Anolis sagrei: one gene and its partner. The protein of the gene in region 1 purifies or fractionates together with the protein of each later gene. This does not show direct contact. Links are inferred from orthologs where the notes say so. Each region holds a gene or a part of one and is shown on either strand. Other genes may lie near its edges.

Region 1 (8,013 bases):
GGTCATGGGGGACCTTGTCGAAGGCCTTACTGAAATCCAGGTACGCTACATCCACGGCATTCCCCGCATCTACCCAGCTTGTAGCTCTATCGAAGAAAGAGATCAGATTAGTCTGGCATGATTTGTTTTTGATAAATCCATGTTGACTATTAGCGATGACTGCATTTGTTTCTAAGTGTTTGCAGACCGCTTCCTTAACAATCTTTTCCAGAATTTTGCCCGGTATCGACGTGAGGCTGACCGGTCGGTAGTTGTTTGGGTCGTCTTTTTTTCCCTTCTTGAAGATTGGGACCACATTGGCCCTCCTCCAATCTGCTGGAACTTCTCCCGTTCTCCAAGAACTCTCAAAGATGGTTGCCAATGGTTCCGAAATGACTTCCGCTAGTTCCTTCAATACTCTTGGGTGTAGTTGATCTGGCCCTGGGGACTTGAACTCATTAAGAGCGGCCAGGTATTCCTGGACGACTTCTTTCCCAATTTGGGGTTGGATGTCCTCCAATCCCTCATCCACTCCATCTTGCTGTGGTTGAAGACTCTCTTTTTGTGAGAAGACCGAGGCAAAGAAGGCATTAAGTAGTTCTGCCTTTTCCCTATCCCCTGTCAGCATTGCCCCATCTTCTCCTCGAAGAGGTCCTATCGCCTCCTTGTTTTTCCTTTTTCTACTGACATAAGAATAGAAGCCCTTTTTATTGTTTTTAATGTCCCTGGCAAGTCTGAGCTCGTTTTTTGCTTTAGCCTTGCGGACCTTTTCCCTACAGGTGTTGGCTATTTGTTTGAATTCTTCTTTGGTGATTTCTCCCTTTTTCCACTTCTTGTGCATGTCCCTTTTGTGTCTTAGTACAGTTAGAAGTTCTTTGGACATCCATTCTGGCTTCTTTGCACTTGTCCTATTTTTTCTCTTTGTTGGCACGGTTTGCAATTGCGCCTTGAGTATTTCACTCTTGAGAAATTCCCATCCATCCGTAGCTCCCTTGTCTTTTAGTATCTGTGTCCACGGAATGCTGCTCAGCGTTTCCTTCATTTTTTGGAAATCAGCTCTCCTAAAGTCCAAAATGCGGGTTTGACTTGTCTTAGTTTTGGCCTTCCTTTGTACCTCAAATTGCAGGAGCACATGGTCACTTGCCCCTAAGGATCCTACCACTTCGACCGCATCGATCAGGTCCTCCGCATTTGTTAGGATGAGATCAAGAGTAGCCAATCCCCTTGTTGCCTCTTCTACCTTCTGGACCATGAAATTGTCTGCAAGGCAAGCGAGGAATTTGTTGGACCTTGTACTCTTGGCCGAGTTTGTTTTCCAGCAAATATCGGGATAGTTGAAATCGCCCATGACTACTACATCTCTTTTCTGTGCCTGTTTGGTCAACTGTTGGCAGAAGACTTCATCAAGATCTTCCTCCTGGCTTGGGGGTCTGTAGTAGACGCCTACAACGACATCTTTTTGAGTCCCAGTTCCCTTGATTCTTATCCAGATGATTTCAAGCTGGTTTCCTAGATTGCTGTCTTGAATTTCTTCTGCAGCATAAGAGTTTTTGACATATAAGGCTACTCCGCCTCCTCTCCCCTTTGTTCGGTTTCTGTGAAAGAGGTTATACCCCTCGATATCTACATTCCAGTGATAGGAGTCATCCCACCAGGTTTCAGTGATGGCTATGATATCATATTTGTGGTGTTGTGTTAGAAGTTGGAGTTCGTCTTGTTTATTTCCCATGCTCTGTGCATTAGTGTAAAGACATGTGAGCCCCTGGGATCTTCCCTTGAGCTGTTTAATTGGGATTATTGTGCTTTTGGTACTTGGTCCTTGTTGTGTTTGTGCAGCCCTCCGTTTAGCCTTCTGGCGATTCCCAGACATTATGGGTAAAGTAATACAATAATATAACATACAGTAATGGCTTGAGCCATTACTGCTCAAGCAGGGAGCTTTGAGATGGTAGAACAGAAGCTTTCTGAAGCTCTGGGTGCTCTTACTGCCTATTACAGGGAAAACCAGCTGATCTCCAACCCATCCAAAACACAGACATGTGCTTTTCATCTCAAGAACAGACAAGCATCCTGAGCTCTGAGATCACCTGGGAAGAAATCCCACTGGAGTATTGCAACACACCCAAATACCTGCGAGTCACTCTGAACCGTGCTCTGACCTACAAGAAGCACTGCCTGAACATGAAGCAAAAAGTGGGTGCTAGAAACAATATCATAAGGAAGCTGACTGGCACAACCTAGGGATCACAACCAGATACAGTGAAGACATCTGCCCTTGCGCTGTACTACTCTGCTGCTGAGTACGCATGCCCAGTGTGGAACACATCTCACTACACTAAAACAGTGGATGTGGCTCTTAATGAGACATGCCGCATTATCACGGGGTGTTTGCGCCCTACACCACTGGAGAAATTACACTGCTTAGCCGGTATTGCACCTCCTGATATCCGCCGGGAAGTAGCAGCCAATAGTGAAAGGACCAAGGCAGAGACATCTCCAGCTCATCCCTTGTTTGGATATCAGGCAGCACGTCAACGACTTAAATCAAGAAATAGTTTTCTAAGATCTACAGAGACACTCACTGGAACACCTCAGCAAGCAAGAGTCCAAAAGTGGCAGGCTCAAACCCAGAACCTCAACCAATGGCTGATACCAAATGGGAGACTTCCCCCTGGGCACACAGAGGACTGGGCGACTTGGAAGGCGCTGAACAGACTGCACTCTGGCACCACGAGATGCAGAACCAACCTTCAGAAATGGAGCTACAAAGTGGAATCCTTGACATGCGAATGTGGAGAGGAGCAAACCACTGACCACCTGGTGCAATGCAACCTGAGCCCTGCCACATGCACGATGGAGGACCTTCTTGCAGCAACACCGGAAGCACTCCAAGTGGCCAGATACTGGTCAAAGGACATTTAACCAACTACCAAACTCACAAATTTTGTATTTTGTCTGTTTGTTTGCTTTGTTCTGTTAGAAATGTCATATAATTGACTGGTTGCCCTGACACAACAAATAAATAAATACATACATACAATATAATCTAAAATATTTAATATCTAAATATAGAAGGAAATATAATCTAAAAATAATATAACGTATAAAACTTGAAATAAAATATATAATATCTAACAATCTAACATGAAATGAAATATAATCTAAACTAATAAAATAATATAGCATATACAATATAATCTAAAATAAAAGCATATATCTAAAATCTAATATGAAATAATATCTAAAGGAAAAAATATGTTGTAATCATATATATATATATATATATATATATATATATAATGTAACATTTTATATACACATGTAAAATAATCTAACATGAAATATAAAATATTCTAAAAGAAAATAATGTAATATACAATACAATCTAAAATGAATATGTATATCAAAAATAATCTAACATGAAATATAATCTATAATAATATAACATACAATATAATCTAAAATAAAAGTATATCTCTAAAATAATATAATATGAAATAATATCTAAAGGGAAAAAATAAAATATGATGTAATCTAATATATATATAATGTAACATTTTATATATACATAAAATATATAATAATCTAACATGAAATATAAAATATTCTAAAAGAAAATAATGTAATATACAATATAATCTAAAATGAATATGTATATCAAAAATAATCTAACATGAAATATAATCTATAATAATCATATAGCATACAATATAATCTAAAATAAAATATATGTAAAGTATTTTAAATTAATCTGACATGAATAATATAATCTAAATGCAGAAGAAGACAAACTCTTTAAATATATTACGACTGCCGCCAGAATTGTTTTCGCGAGAGAATGGAAACAAGAATTAAATCCGCCCATTGATGGGTGGTTAGATAAAATGAGAGAGATAAAAGATATGGATGAATTTACTTTTTTGCTGAAAAAGAATACCGGGAATACTTTAAAAAGAACAAATTGGGACCTCTTCAATATCTGGAGAGCATCAAAAAATTGAGACTACAATAGATATTTTTATTAGCAGATTTTGATAAAAGAAAGACTTTAACCAAGAAGATGCAAAGGAAGTCATTTTAAAATTTTTTGTAGTATTTTTAATTTTTGGTAGTACTTTTTGTTTGTTTTTGTATTTTTTTTCATTATTATTATTATTTTTCTACTTTTTTTCTTTTTTCCTTTTTCTTTTTTTCTTATATCTCTCCTATTTCTCTTTTTTCCATCTCTTTCCTATATTTTTATTGTTCTCACTTTTTCGTTGTGTTATTATTAAAACTTAATAAAATCTTTTCAAAAAATAAAATAAAATAATATAATCTGAAAGAAAAAGAAAATAATACAACACATACAATATAAAATAAATATATATATTCTAAAATAATCTAACATGAAATGCAATTAAAATAAAATAAAGTAATATAACATACAATCTAAAATACATAGAAAAAATGTAACATGAGATATAATCTAAAAGAATATAATATAATATATATGCAATATAATCTAAAATATATAATATCTAAAATTATCTTTAAAAGTCTAACATGAAATATAATATAAAATAAAAATAATATAACACATTATATATATATATATATATATATATATATATATAAAATGTAAAATAAGAATATAAAGTGAAACATAAAAGTTGCAACAAGGAGACTAAATGCTTCCTAAATTTCCTTCTTCTGTAATTTATTGCCTTCCAGGAGTGAAAAAGTAAGCAAACTTTTAATGTATAAGTAGGGTTGCAACCTTTATTGGGATATGTTTTATTTATTTTTAATGACTTTGTTTTGTCATTATTTGTTTGCTGTTGGTTGGCAGCAAAAAAAAAAAAGTTACTTGGTCCCTTTAAGAAATGGACCTGGGCGAAACGTCACTTCCGCCTCCTTTCACTTTTGTTTGTGTTGCCCAGCAATGGCAGGGCGGAAACAGGAAGTGGCCCTCACCCGGCCGAATCCAGTGCAGCCACCTCGGAGGAAGGCGGATCCCACGGCTTGTCCACACATCGCGCATGCGCAATAGAAAGAGACAGCCCCGGTGTCAGCGGCAGGAGGAAAGGCCTCGCCTCAGCGACGGCGAGATGTCGGATCTCGGCGAGTGGTTCCGGAGCATCCCGCTGATCACCCGCTACTGGTTTGCCGGCTCCATCGCGGTCCCCCTGTTCGGCAAGCTAGGCCTCATCAGCCCCGTCTATCTCTTCCTGTGGCCCGACGCTTTCCTCAACCGCTTCCAGGTAGGGTCGCGCCGGACTACGTGTCCCGGCATGCATTGCGCGCCCTGGATCATAGAAACACATAGAGGCTTGGCGCGTTGCGTCTTGGGAAGTGTAGTCTGTGACACCTGCACGTTGGGAATCGTAGTTGGAGGGGTGTTTCTTTCTTTTCTGAGTGTCAGAATGGTGTCAGGAGAGGAACATGATTAGACTTTGCCACAGAATCACAGAGTTGGGAGAGACCCCAAAGGCCATCCAGTTCAACCCTATTTTGCCACTCAGGAAGGCACAATCAGAGCACCCCCAACAGATGACCAGCCAGTCTCTGATTGAAACCCCTTCAGAGGAGGAGACTTCACCACATTCCATGGCAACATATTCCACTGCCAAGCTATCTCCCTAAATTCTTCCTAATGTTTACCTGGAATTTATTTTCTTGTAATTTGTGATGTGATGTGGCGGCAAAAAAAGCCAATGGGATTTTGGCCTGCATCAATAGGAGCATAGTGTTTAGATCTAAGGAAGTAATGCTACCCCTCTATTCTGTTTTGGTTAGACCACATCTGGAATATTGTGTCCAATTCTGGGCACCACAATTCAAAAGAGATATTGACAAGCTGGAATGTGTCCAGAGAGAGCGACTAAAATGATAAAAGGTCTGGAGAACAAGCCCTATGAGGAGCGGCTTAAGGAGCTGGGCATGTTTAGCCTGAAGAAGAGAAGGCTGAGAGGGGATATGATAGCCATGTATAAATATGTGAGAGGAAGCCACAGGGAGGAGGGAGCAAGCTTGTTTTCTGCTTCCTTGGAGACTAGGACGCGGAACAATGGCTTCAAACTACAAGAGAGGAGATTCCATCTGAACATGAGGAAGAACTTCCTGACTGTGAGAGCCGTTCAGCAGTGGAACTCTCTGCCCCGGAGTGTGGTGGAGGCTCCTTCTTTGGAAGCTTTTAAGCAGAGGCTGGATGGCCATCTGTCAGGGGTGATTTGAATGCAATATTCCTGCTTCTTGGCAGGGGGTTGGACTGGATGGCCCATGAGGTCTCTTCCAACTCTTTGATTCTATGATTCTATGATTCTAATTTGAATTAATAATAATAATAATAATAATAATAATAATAATAAGCTTTATTTATACCCCACCACCATCTCCCCAAGAGGACTCGGGGTGGCTTCCATGAGGCCAGGCCCAACAGCACAGCAATGCAAATAAACAACATACAGCGACAGTAAAATATAAAATAAAATCAAGAAACAAAATAAATAAACATAAACAATGTAAAATCACAATAATTTAAACACAGAGAATAAACCACAGTGGGCAGGGCCGATAGCAAGGATTAAAAGTTTAAAAACACTGGGTGAGAAGGCCATGTATTGTATTTGGACAGGGGAATGGAGAGACGAAAGTAGGTTTTAATTGCACTAGTAGGTAGAAAAGGGATCTGGGTGTTTTAGCAGCCCACAAGCTGAACATGTTTTGAAGTCCAAAACACCCGGAGGGCCCAAATTTGCCAATGCTTGTTTTAAAATAACAGAAAACAAACTTGCCCCCTCCTCAGTGTGACATCTTTTCAAATATTTAAACATTATTACTCTTATTATATTTATACCTCACTTTATCTCTCCCAAAGAGACTCAAAGAGACATAAAAGCATTAGTACACAATTTAAAACATACCAACATTAAAACAGAATAAGACAAACAGTATTAAAAATCACAGTTAAAATCCATCAAACATATTCAAAGTTAAAAACGATAGCATTCCCTGATTAGATCTTAACCACCTTCATCTTTAAAAGCCTGTATGAACAGAGGGACAGCAGGGAGGTGGCCATTCTGGCTTCCCTGAGAAGAAGAAGAAGAAGAAGAAGGGAGTTCCAAAGTTGAGGGGCAGTCACCGAGAAGTAAGGCTCACTCTCATTCCCACCAACTGAGCTTGAGATGGAGGTGGGACCGAGAAGGGCCTCTCCTGAAGATCTGAGGGCTCGAGCAAGTTTATACAAGGCATGTGGTCAGCCAAATAGCCTGGACCTGAACCGTCTAGGACTTTAAAGATAATAACCAGTACTTTGAATTGTGCCCGGAAACAGTCTAGCAGTCAGTGGAGCTGCTATAGCAGGGGAGTTGGCCCGCCCCTGTAGCCAGTCCCAGTTAGCAACCTGGCTGCAGCTCTTTGTACTAGCTGAAGTTTCTGAGCACTCTTCAGAGGCAGCCCCACATAGATTGCATTACAGTAATCCAGATGGGATGTAACTAAGGCATGTACTGCCGTGGCGAGATCTGGCTTCCCAAGGGACAGGCACAATTGCCGCACAAGTTTTAATTGTGCAAAGGCCCTCCTGGCCACCGCTGACACCTGGGCCTCCAGGTTCAATACCAAGTCCAGGAGGACCCCCAGACTGTGAACCCGTGTCTTCATGGGGACTGTGATCCCATCCATCACAGGCTGGATCCCCATTCCCTGGTCTGCCTTACGATTGATCAGGAGTATCTATGTCTTGTCTAGTTTAAGCTTCAATTTGTTTGCCCTCATCCAGACCGTTACTGATAACAGGCACTGGTTTAGGGTCAGGACAGCTCCCTTGGCTGTAGGTGGAAAGGAGTAGTAGAGTTGGGTGTCATTCGCATATAGGTGGCACTGCACACCAAAACTCCGGATGACATCTCCCAGCGGTTTCATTTATATGTTGAACAGAATGAGGGACAGAATGGAACCCTGAGGAACCCCACAGGTCAATGGCCAGGGGATCGAACAGGAGACCCCCAGCATCACCTTCTGGATATGGCCCTCCAGGAAGGACCAAAG
Region 2 (8,014 bases), on another chromosome or scaffold:
GCTTGAAAACCATTTCAGAACATCATTTTATTACTGACTCGTTGCACTGCCCCAAAGGCTTGGTCCCATAGCCAGGTCTTCACCATCCTTCTGAAGGACAGGAGGGAGGTGGCTGATCTAATATTGCCAGGAAGGGAGTTCCATAGCTAGGGGCAATCACTGAGAAGGCCCTGTTCTCTTGTCTCCGCCAAACACACCGGTGACGAGAGCACAGTCACAGGTGCATTTGACGAGGACGAAAGCAGGGCCTCCCCAGATCTTAGTCTTTGTAATGGTTCATAAAGGGAGATGCGTTCAGACAAGTAAATTGGAATTCAGAGTGCTCTTAGATTGCAGGTCAACTATAAATCCCAGTACCCAACTCCTATAAATAATGGTGATTTCTCCTCAAACCTCTCTAGTATGTTCAGTTGCTGACCAATTCCTCTGTTTGCTGTGTGCCATAGAAAAGAACTGTCGTTGTTTGTTGTTGTTCATTCGTTCAGTCATTTCCAACTCTTCATGGCCTCATGGACCAGCCCACGCCAGAGCTCCCTGTCGGCCATCACCACCCCCAGATTTTTCAAGGTCAATCCAGTCACTTCAAGGATCCCATCCATCCATCCTGTCCTTGGTCGGCCCCTCTTCCTTTTTCCTTCCATTTTCCCCAGCATCATTAGCTTCTCTAAGCTTTCCTTTCTTCTAATGATGAGGCCAAAGTACTTCATCTTTGCCTCTACTATCCTCCCCTCCAATGAGCAGCCGGGCTTTATTTCCTGAAGTATGGATGGGAAATAGATGGAGAAAACATGGAGGCAGTGACAGACTTTGTATTTCTAGGTGCAAAGATGACTGCAGACGCAGACTGCAGGCAGGAAATCAGGAGACGCTTACTTCTTGGGAGGAGAGCAATGACCAATCTTGATAAAATAGTGAAGAGTAGAGACATCACACTGGCAACAAAGATCCGCATAGTCAAAGCAATGGTATTCCCCATAGGCACCTACGGATGTGAGAGCTGGACAATAGGGAAGGCTGAGTGAAGGAAGAAGAATGTATCTCCTTCTATGTCCCACCTCAGAGTTTAAGATCTGCTGGGGATGCCCTGCTCTCGGCCCCACCTTTATCACAAGCGAGGCTGGTGGGGACGAGAGACAGGGCCTTCTCGGTGGTGGCCCCTCGCCTGTGGAATGAACTCCTGGGGGAGATTAGATCATCAACATCCCTCCTTTACTTTCAGAAGGAAGCTAAAAACCTGGATGTGGGACCAGGCCTTCGGGTAAGCTGGCAGATGGACAAAGATAACCAATGACGACCAGAGTAGGAAAGGATAATGATGATGCTAGATGGATCATGGACTATGAATTGGCGAACATGATGATTTTATTGCTGCTAGTATATTGTTTGATTGTTTTAATAAGTTATAATTGTTGACATTATATGGTAAATTTGTGTATTGTATATTGTACTGTATTTTATGAATTGTCAGGCATCGAATTGTGCCTTTTTTGTAAGCCGCCCTGAGTCCCCCCTAGGGGGTTGAGAAGGGCGGAGTAGAAGCACTCCAAATAAATTAATTGGAGGAAAGTGTTGAGAATGCCTTAGACCACGATAAGATCCAGTCAGTCCATACTTCAAGAAATAAAGCCCGACTGCTCACTGGAGGGAAGGATAGTAGAGGCCAAGATGAAGTGCTTTGGCCACATCATGAGAAGAAAGGAAAGCTTAGAGAAGACAATGATGCTGGGGGAAATGGAAGGAAAAAGGAAGAGGGGCCGACCAAGGGCAAGATGGATGGATGGTATCCTTGAAGTGACTGGATTGACCTTGAAGGAGCTGGGGGTGGTGACGGCCAACAGGGAGCTCTGGCGTGGGCTGGTCCATGAGGTCATGAAGAATTGGAAACGACTGAACGAATGAACAACAACAAACAACAACAATTCTTTTCTATGGCACACAGCAAACAGAGGAATTGATCAGCAACTGAACATACTAGAAAGGTTTGAGGAGAATTCACCATGATTTATAGGAGTTGGGTACTGGGATTTATAGTTGACCTGCAACCTAAGAGCACTCTGAACTCCAATTTACTTGTCTGAACGCATCTCCTTTTACAAACCATTACAAAGACTTAAGATCTTCTGGGGAGGCCCTGCTTTTGTTTCCGTCAAACGCACCTGTGGCTGTGCTCTCGTCACCGGTGCATTTGGATGGATGGGATCCTTGAAGTGACTGGATTGACCTTGAAGGTGCTGGGGGTGGTGACGGCCGACAGGGAGCTCTGGCGTGGACTGGTCCATGAGGTCACGAAGAGTCGGAAACGACTGAACGAATGAACAACAACAAATGGACTGGATAGATCTTCTCGCAGTCCAGAACATTCCTCCAACACCACAGTTCAAAAGCATCTGTCTTCCTTTGCTTATCCTTCCCTATGGTCCAGCTTTCAGAAAAGAATAGGAAAGGGTTAAGGGAGAGGCAGTGGGCGGGGTTAATCAAATTCCACACCAATGGAGAGAGTAAGAAACACTGGGATGTCTGTGGTGGAGGAAACACATGGAATCTTGGATGAAACTGTCCCCATATGAAAGCCTTCAATATGCATTTAATATGGTGACAACCTCAAAGCAATGATTCCCTGAGCCTTTAAGTGTTTTGGACTTCATTTCCCAGAAGCCCTCCCCATTGGCCACAGAAGCAAAGGCTTCTGGGAGTTGAAGTCCAAACCTCCCTGCTGTTGGGAATCACTGTGATAAAAGGATACTCCACCTGCACAAAATGAAGGGGATGCCAGTATTGTTATTTACAGTGATCCTGGCTCCCATCTCCCCCCAGCCACGCCCCTCTCACCAGTACAGGTGGCCACAGAGCCCAATCACTGCTTCCCTCGCAGGTTCCAGGCAGATATTGCATTCAAACGCGCTCCGGTCACGGTTTGACCCCTCCTGCTCCCCGTCCGGAACCCCCGGACCCGTCCCAGCCGCTGCAGCCGCCGCCATCTTCCGCCCTCACTTAAACTAAAGGAGGGGGGCGGGTGTTGTTGGAAACGCCCGCTCTTCGCCAATTGATCCTCTCGGCCGTCCGTCACGCCGTGCCGACATCTCATTGGGTGACGCCTCGGTCAATTGTGGCCTCTGGCGACGCGGATTGTGCACGTTCGAGGGAGTCCCGCCCACGGCGCTGTGTGGGGAGCATGAAACTTTTCTCATTGGCTGCGTGGGTTGACTCGCTGCTTTGTCATTGGCTGGGGAGTCTCAGCGGCCTGCCTTCGTCGTCCAGAGAGCAAAATATGATGTCATGTGACTAAAGGAAAAAGGGGGAGGGAATAGAAGAGGCGCGGCTTGATTGATTGGATCGTAAGCCTCTCATACGCCACGGAACAAGGGATGTCGGGGGTGGGGCTATCCTCTAAAGAGACGAAAGCAGTCGCCTGATTGGTCTACATGGACTCAGATTGGGGCGGGACTAAGCTTGATTGACGCGTCGGTGGCCCAATAGTGACACAAAGGGGTTGTTTTCGGTCGAATTGGTCTACATGGACTCAAATGGGAGCGGGACTAAGCTTGATTGACGCGTCGGTGGCCCAATAGTAACACAAAGGGGTTGTTTTCAGTCGAATTGGGAGCAATACTGAGCTGGACGCCTTTCCATGATAGCAAATAATCGAAGGAGGGGAAAGGGCATTTCCTGCCTTGGCCTGGATTTCTGATCAATTCCAGCTCCTTTAAAGCATACAGGCCCATTGGGCCTCTATGAGTAAAGGCTCTCCAGTGAGACTGTAGGGCATGCATGGGCCAACTTGGGTCCTCCAAGTGTTTAGGTGTTTTGGTGGGCAGGAAAAGAGATTTAGAGATGGGCTCAAAGCCAACCTTAAAAACTCTGAACTGGGAAGCCCTGGCCCTTGCACACTCCAGCTGGAAGTCGGCTGTGACCAGCAGTGCTGTAGAATTTTGAACAGGCACTAATGGAGGGCAAATGAGAGAAACATGCCAAGAGGAAGGTGCGTCAAGCTGATATCGAGCTAGAATTTGGAGGCTTCTGCCCAGGAGAGAGGAGCCCTTAGACCAGTGTTTCTCAACCTGGGGGTCGGGACCCCTGGAGGGGTTGCGAGGGGGTGTCAGAGGGGTCACCAAAGACCATCTGAAAACACAGTATTTTCTGTAGGTCATGGGAGATTCTGTGTGGGAAGTTTGGCCCAATTCAATCATTGGTAGGGTTCAGAATGCTCTTTGATTGTAGGTGAACTACAAATCCCAGCAACTACAACTTCCAAATGTCAAACTCTATATTCCCCAATTCCATCAGTGTTTGCATTTGGGCATATTGAGAAGTCGTGCCAAGTCTGGTCCAGATCCATCATTGTTTGAGTCCACAGTGTTCTCTGGATGTAGGTGAACTACAACTCCCAAACTCAAGGTCAATGCCCAACAAACCCTTCCAGTATTTTCTGCTGGTCATGGGAGTTCTGTGTGCCAAGTTTGACTCAATTCCATTGCTGGTAGAGTTCAGAATGCTCTTTGATTGTAGATGAACTATAAATCCCAGCAGCTACAACTCCCACAAGACAAAATCAATACCCTCTTCCAATCCCACCAGTATTCAAATTAGGGTGCATTGGGTATTTGTGCCAAATTTGGTCTAGTGAATGAAAATACATCCCGCACATCAGATATTTATATTACTATTCATAACAGCACCAAAATGGCAGTTATGAAGTAGCAACTAAACTAATTTTAGTTTGGGGGTCACCATAACATGAGGAAGTGTATTAAGGGGTCATGGCATTAGGAAGGTTGAGAACCACTGCCTTAGACTCACCAAAGAGAGTCCGAAACCCTTGACAAGTGAAAGAGGAGAAAGGCCCAGAATTTTCCCTGATTTTTCCCAAATAAATCTCACCAAGGTTGAAGAAAAGCCATCAAGGTTTATTTAGCGATCCAGCTGAAAAGGATGCAGAGCTGCGATCGTTCGCCAGCGGAGCATAAAGAAATACATTTGATACAGCCATATTTATAGTAAATTCAAAGTTGTAGAGTTCAAACTCCCCGCCCCGGCCTCCCTGCTGCCCTCCACTGTGATTGGACAACGGGCAAACAGCTGGGAGGTGGCCCTCCCGCCCCCGCGCCCCTGGACCAATCAGGAAGCTCCAACGGTCCGTAGGGTCCAATGGGGAGGCTCCTGCCATCTAGCGGCGATAGCAAATCAGGAAAGAGGGAGGCGGGATGATAGAACACAAAGGAATCTTGTGAATGAATTCTAAAAAAAATGCCATGTGGCCTGCGAGACAAAGAGGGAGTCTTAAGCAAGCCTGATCTTTTGTGTTTTGATTGGAATGAATCAACATGTGTAAAGGCAAGTCCGGATTTTACTAGCCAGCAAATATGAAGACAATGAGGGTGAAACTGGGGTGAATGTTCCTTAGTGGGAAGTTAGTTAAATCAACCAGTGCGAAGGTGGGGGCTTTTCGAGGGTCCCCTGACCTCCAGGTAGAAAAATGATTAGGGGTCTGCCAGGGGGCAAACAGCATTGTTGGGCAATCCTCCGAGAACAAAGCTGCCTGCCAGTTTATTTTTCATGCAAAGGAAATTGTGGATTGGGGTCTTTGGAATGTCTGGAGATCTGCAGTTTCCTGAGGGGATTTCTTCTTAAGGAAAGGGAAGGAAAAAAGGTCAAGGGAAGGCCACTAGTACAAAGGAAAATATGAAAATATATACATTTGATGTAGCAGAAACCATGTGCCTATAATTCATAACAGGAAAAGTCCATATAAGTCCAGTATGTTTTTGAAAGGGAAACAAAAGGGTTTATGGGGAATGATTAAAAGCATGAAATTCACGAGAAAAGGTCCAAAAGTTTTCACTGAGCCAGTCAAGGAAGTCCTGCAGCGTTGAGGTTGAGACTTGTCTTTGGCCCTTTGCAAGACTATAAGATATTATCTCTTATTGGGGGGGGGGGGGGGGGCATGCTCGGCTTCAAAGCCAACCTCGACGAGGACCGCCTTCCACCTGGAAACCAATGCCCTCACTATGGGAGAAGATGCAGATCAAGAATAGGACTCCACAGTCACCTACAGACCCACCGCCAGTACACCGATCTTGGAAGACAATCCTACTCAGACAATGAGGGATCGCCTAAGTTTGGACTTCAATTCTCACAATTCCTAACAGCCTACCTGCTGTAGAATCAGACAATGGCAAAGCTACTTTTTTGGACTACACTTCCCATATGCTTATCTTGCTGGGGGATTCTGTGAGATGCAACCCCAAAAGTATATTTTTCAATGTGTTTCAATGTGCCATTTATAGATGTCCTAGTCACCGGCAAAGCAAATCAACAATTGGATCACACAGCTTACAGAAAATCTACACACACGGATAGATACTTACATAAAAACTCCCAACTATCACCCAAGTCAAAAATGTAGCACCATTAAAGCCCTGGCAGACCATGCAAAAAGAATCTGCAAACGCCACCTCCTCCAAGAAGAACTGAACCACTTAAACTGGGCTTTACATGCCAATGGAGGCTCCACCACAGGCATCCGAAGAGCTGCAAGACCAAGAACCAGCCACGCGAGTAAAGACAAAGATCCACCCAGAGGAAAAGTTCTTGCCATACATCAAGGGAATCATTGACCGCACAGGGAAGCTGATGAGGAAACACAATCTACAAGCTATCTACAGATCCACTAACAAAATCCAACAAATGCTGCTTTCAGCAAAGGACAAGAGGGGCCCTCTCACCTCTGCAGGAGTCTACCGTATACCATGCAGCTGTGGACAAGTCTACACAGGGACCACCAAATGCAGCAGCATTGCCCAGACACAAATCAAGGAACATGAAAGGCACTGCAGACTACTTCAAACAGAGAAGTCAGCCATAGCAGAGCACCTGACAAACCAACCTGGACACAGCATATTATTTGAGAACACAGAAATGTTGGACCACTCTAAAAACACAAAGAAGCCATTGAAATCCACAAGCATGTGAACTTCCTTTCAACAGAAAGGAAAAATTAATATGAAAATGAACAAAATCTGGCTACCAGTATTAAAAAATTCTAAAATCATAACAGTAAATAAAGACCAGGGAGCTCCAGACAAGAAACAATCGGGGACAGCTAATCACCTCAACAAAGGATACTTCCGGGCAATAAAAGCCACACCTTGAAAACTGTTAGGCCATTAAATGGTAATCAAGGTGACGCACACCTACCTGCAACAGACAAAAGTTCTTTTTCCCACCCTGGACTTTCCACAGACATATAAACTCTATTTTCCTAGATTGTTGTAGGTTTTTCGGACTATGTGGCCATGGCCTAGAGGCATTCTCTCCTGACGTTTCGCCTCCATCTATGGCAAGCATCCTCAGAGATAGTGAGGCCTGTTGGAACTAGGAAAAGGGCTTATATATCTGTGGAATGACCAGGGTGAGACAAAGGACTCTTTGTCTGCTGCAGCTAGCTGTGAATGTTTCAACTGACCACCTTGATTAGCATATAATGGCCTGACAGTGCCTAGAGCAAACTTTTGTTGAGAGGTGATTAGATGTCCTTGTCTGTTTCCTCTCTGTTGTGCTGTTGTAATTTTAGAGTTTTTTAATATTGGTAGCCAGATTTTGTTCATTTTCATGGTTTCCTCATTTCTGTTGAAATTGTCCACATGCTTGTGTATTTCAATGGCTTCTCTGTGTAGTCTGACATGGTGGTTGTGAGCCCCTGAGAAGTCCTTCTGCCATCTTTAAGTGCCATTCCACTAGCCGATAAGTGGAAAGGACCCAGCCTACCAACCAAGCCCACTCCAACAGCCCCTGGGAGACAACTCCGAAATCTTTAACTACTATTCTACCAGCTAGTGAGTGGGAGGAAGCCAGCCCACCAACCAGGAACTCTCCAACAGTCCCTGGGAGCCCCTCTTTAACTGCCATTCCATCAGCAAGGGACCCTACCAAGCCCACTCCAATAGCCCCTGGGAGGCCATTCCGCCATCTTTAACTGCCATTCCACTGGCCGGTGAGTGGGAGGGACCCAGTCCGC

What was found.
Region 2: the proteins of DERL1 (region 1) and RNF5 purify together in Homo sapiens (affinity purification with western blotting; 4 studies listed by BioGRID and IntAct, with this or other methods). This does not show direct contact. The link is inferred for Anolis sagrei from reciprocal best matches to the Homo sapiens genes DERL1 and RNF5.

The regions. Positions count from the first base shown.
Region 1 is NC_090024.1:20,605,925-20,613,937, forward strand, and holds the start of DERL1 (derlin-1), read left to right. Parts: upstream 1-5,000; coding exon 5,001-5,222; intron 5,223-8,013. UniProt on the Homo sapiens protein: Functional component of endoplasmic reticulum-associated degradation (ERAD) for misfolded lumenal proteins. Forms homotetramers which encircle a large channel traversing the endoplasmic reticulum (ER) membrane.
Region 2 is NC_090022.1:16,616,968-16,624,981, forward strand, and holds the start of RNF5 (E3 ubiquitin-protein ligase RNF5), read right to left. Parts: upstream 3,017-8,014; 5' UTR 2,979-3,016; coding exon 2,830-2,978; intron 1-2,829. UniProt on the Homo sapiens protein: Membrane-bound E3 ubiquitin-protein ligase that mediates ubiquitination of target proteins. May function together with E2 ubiquitin-conjugating enzymes UBE2D1/UBCH5A and UBE2D2/UBC4.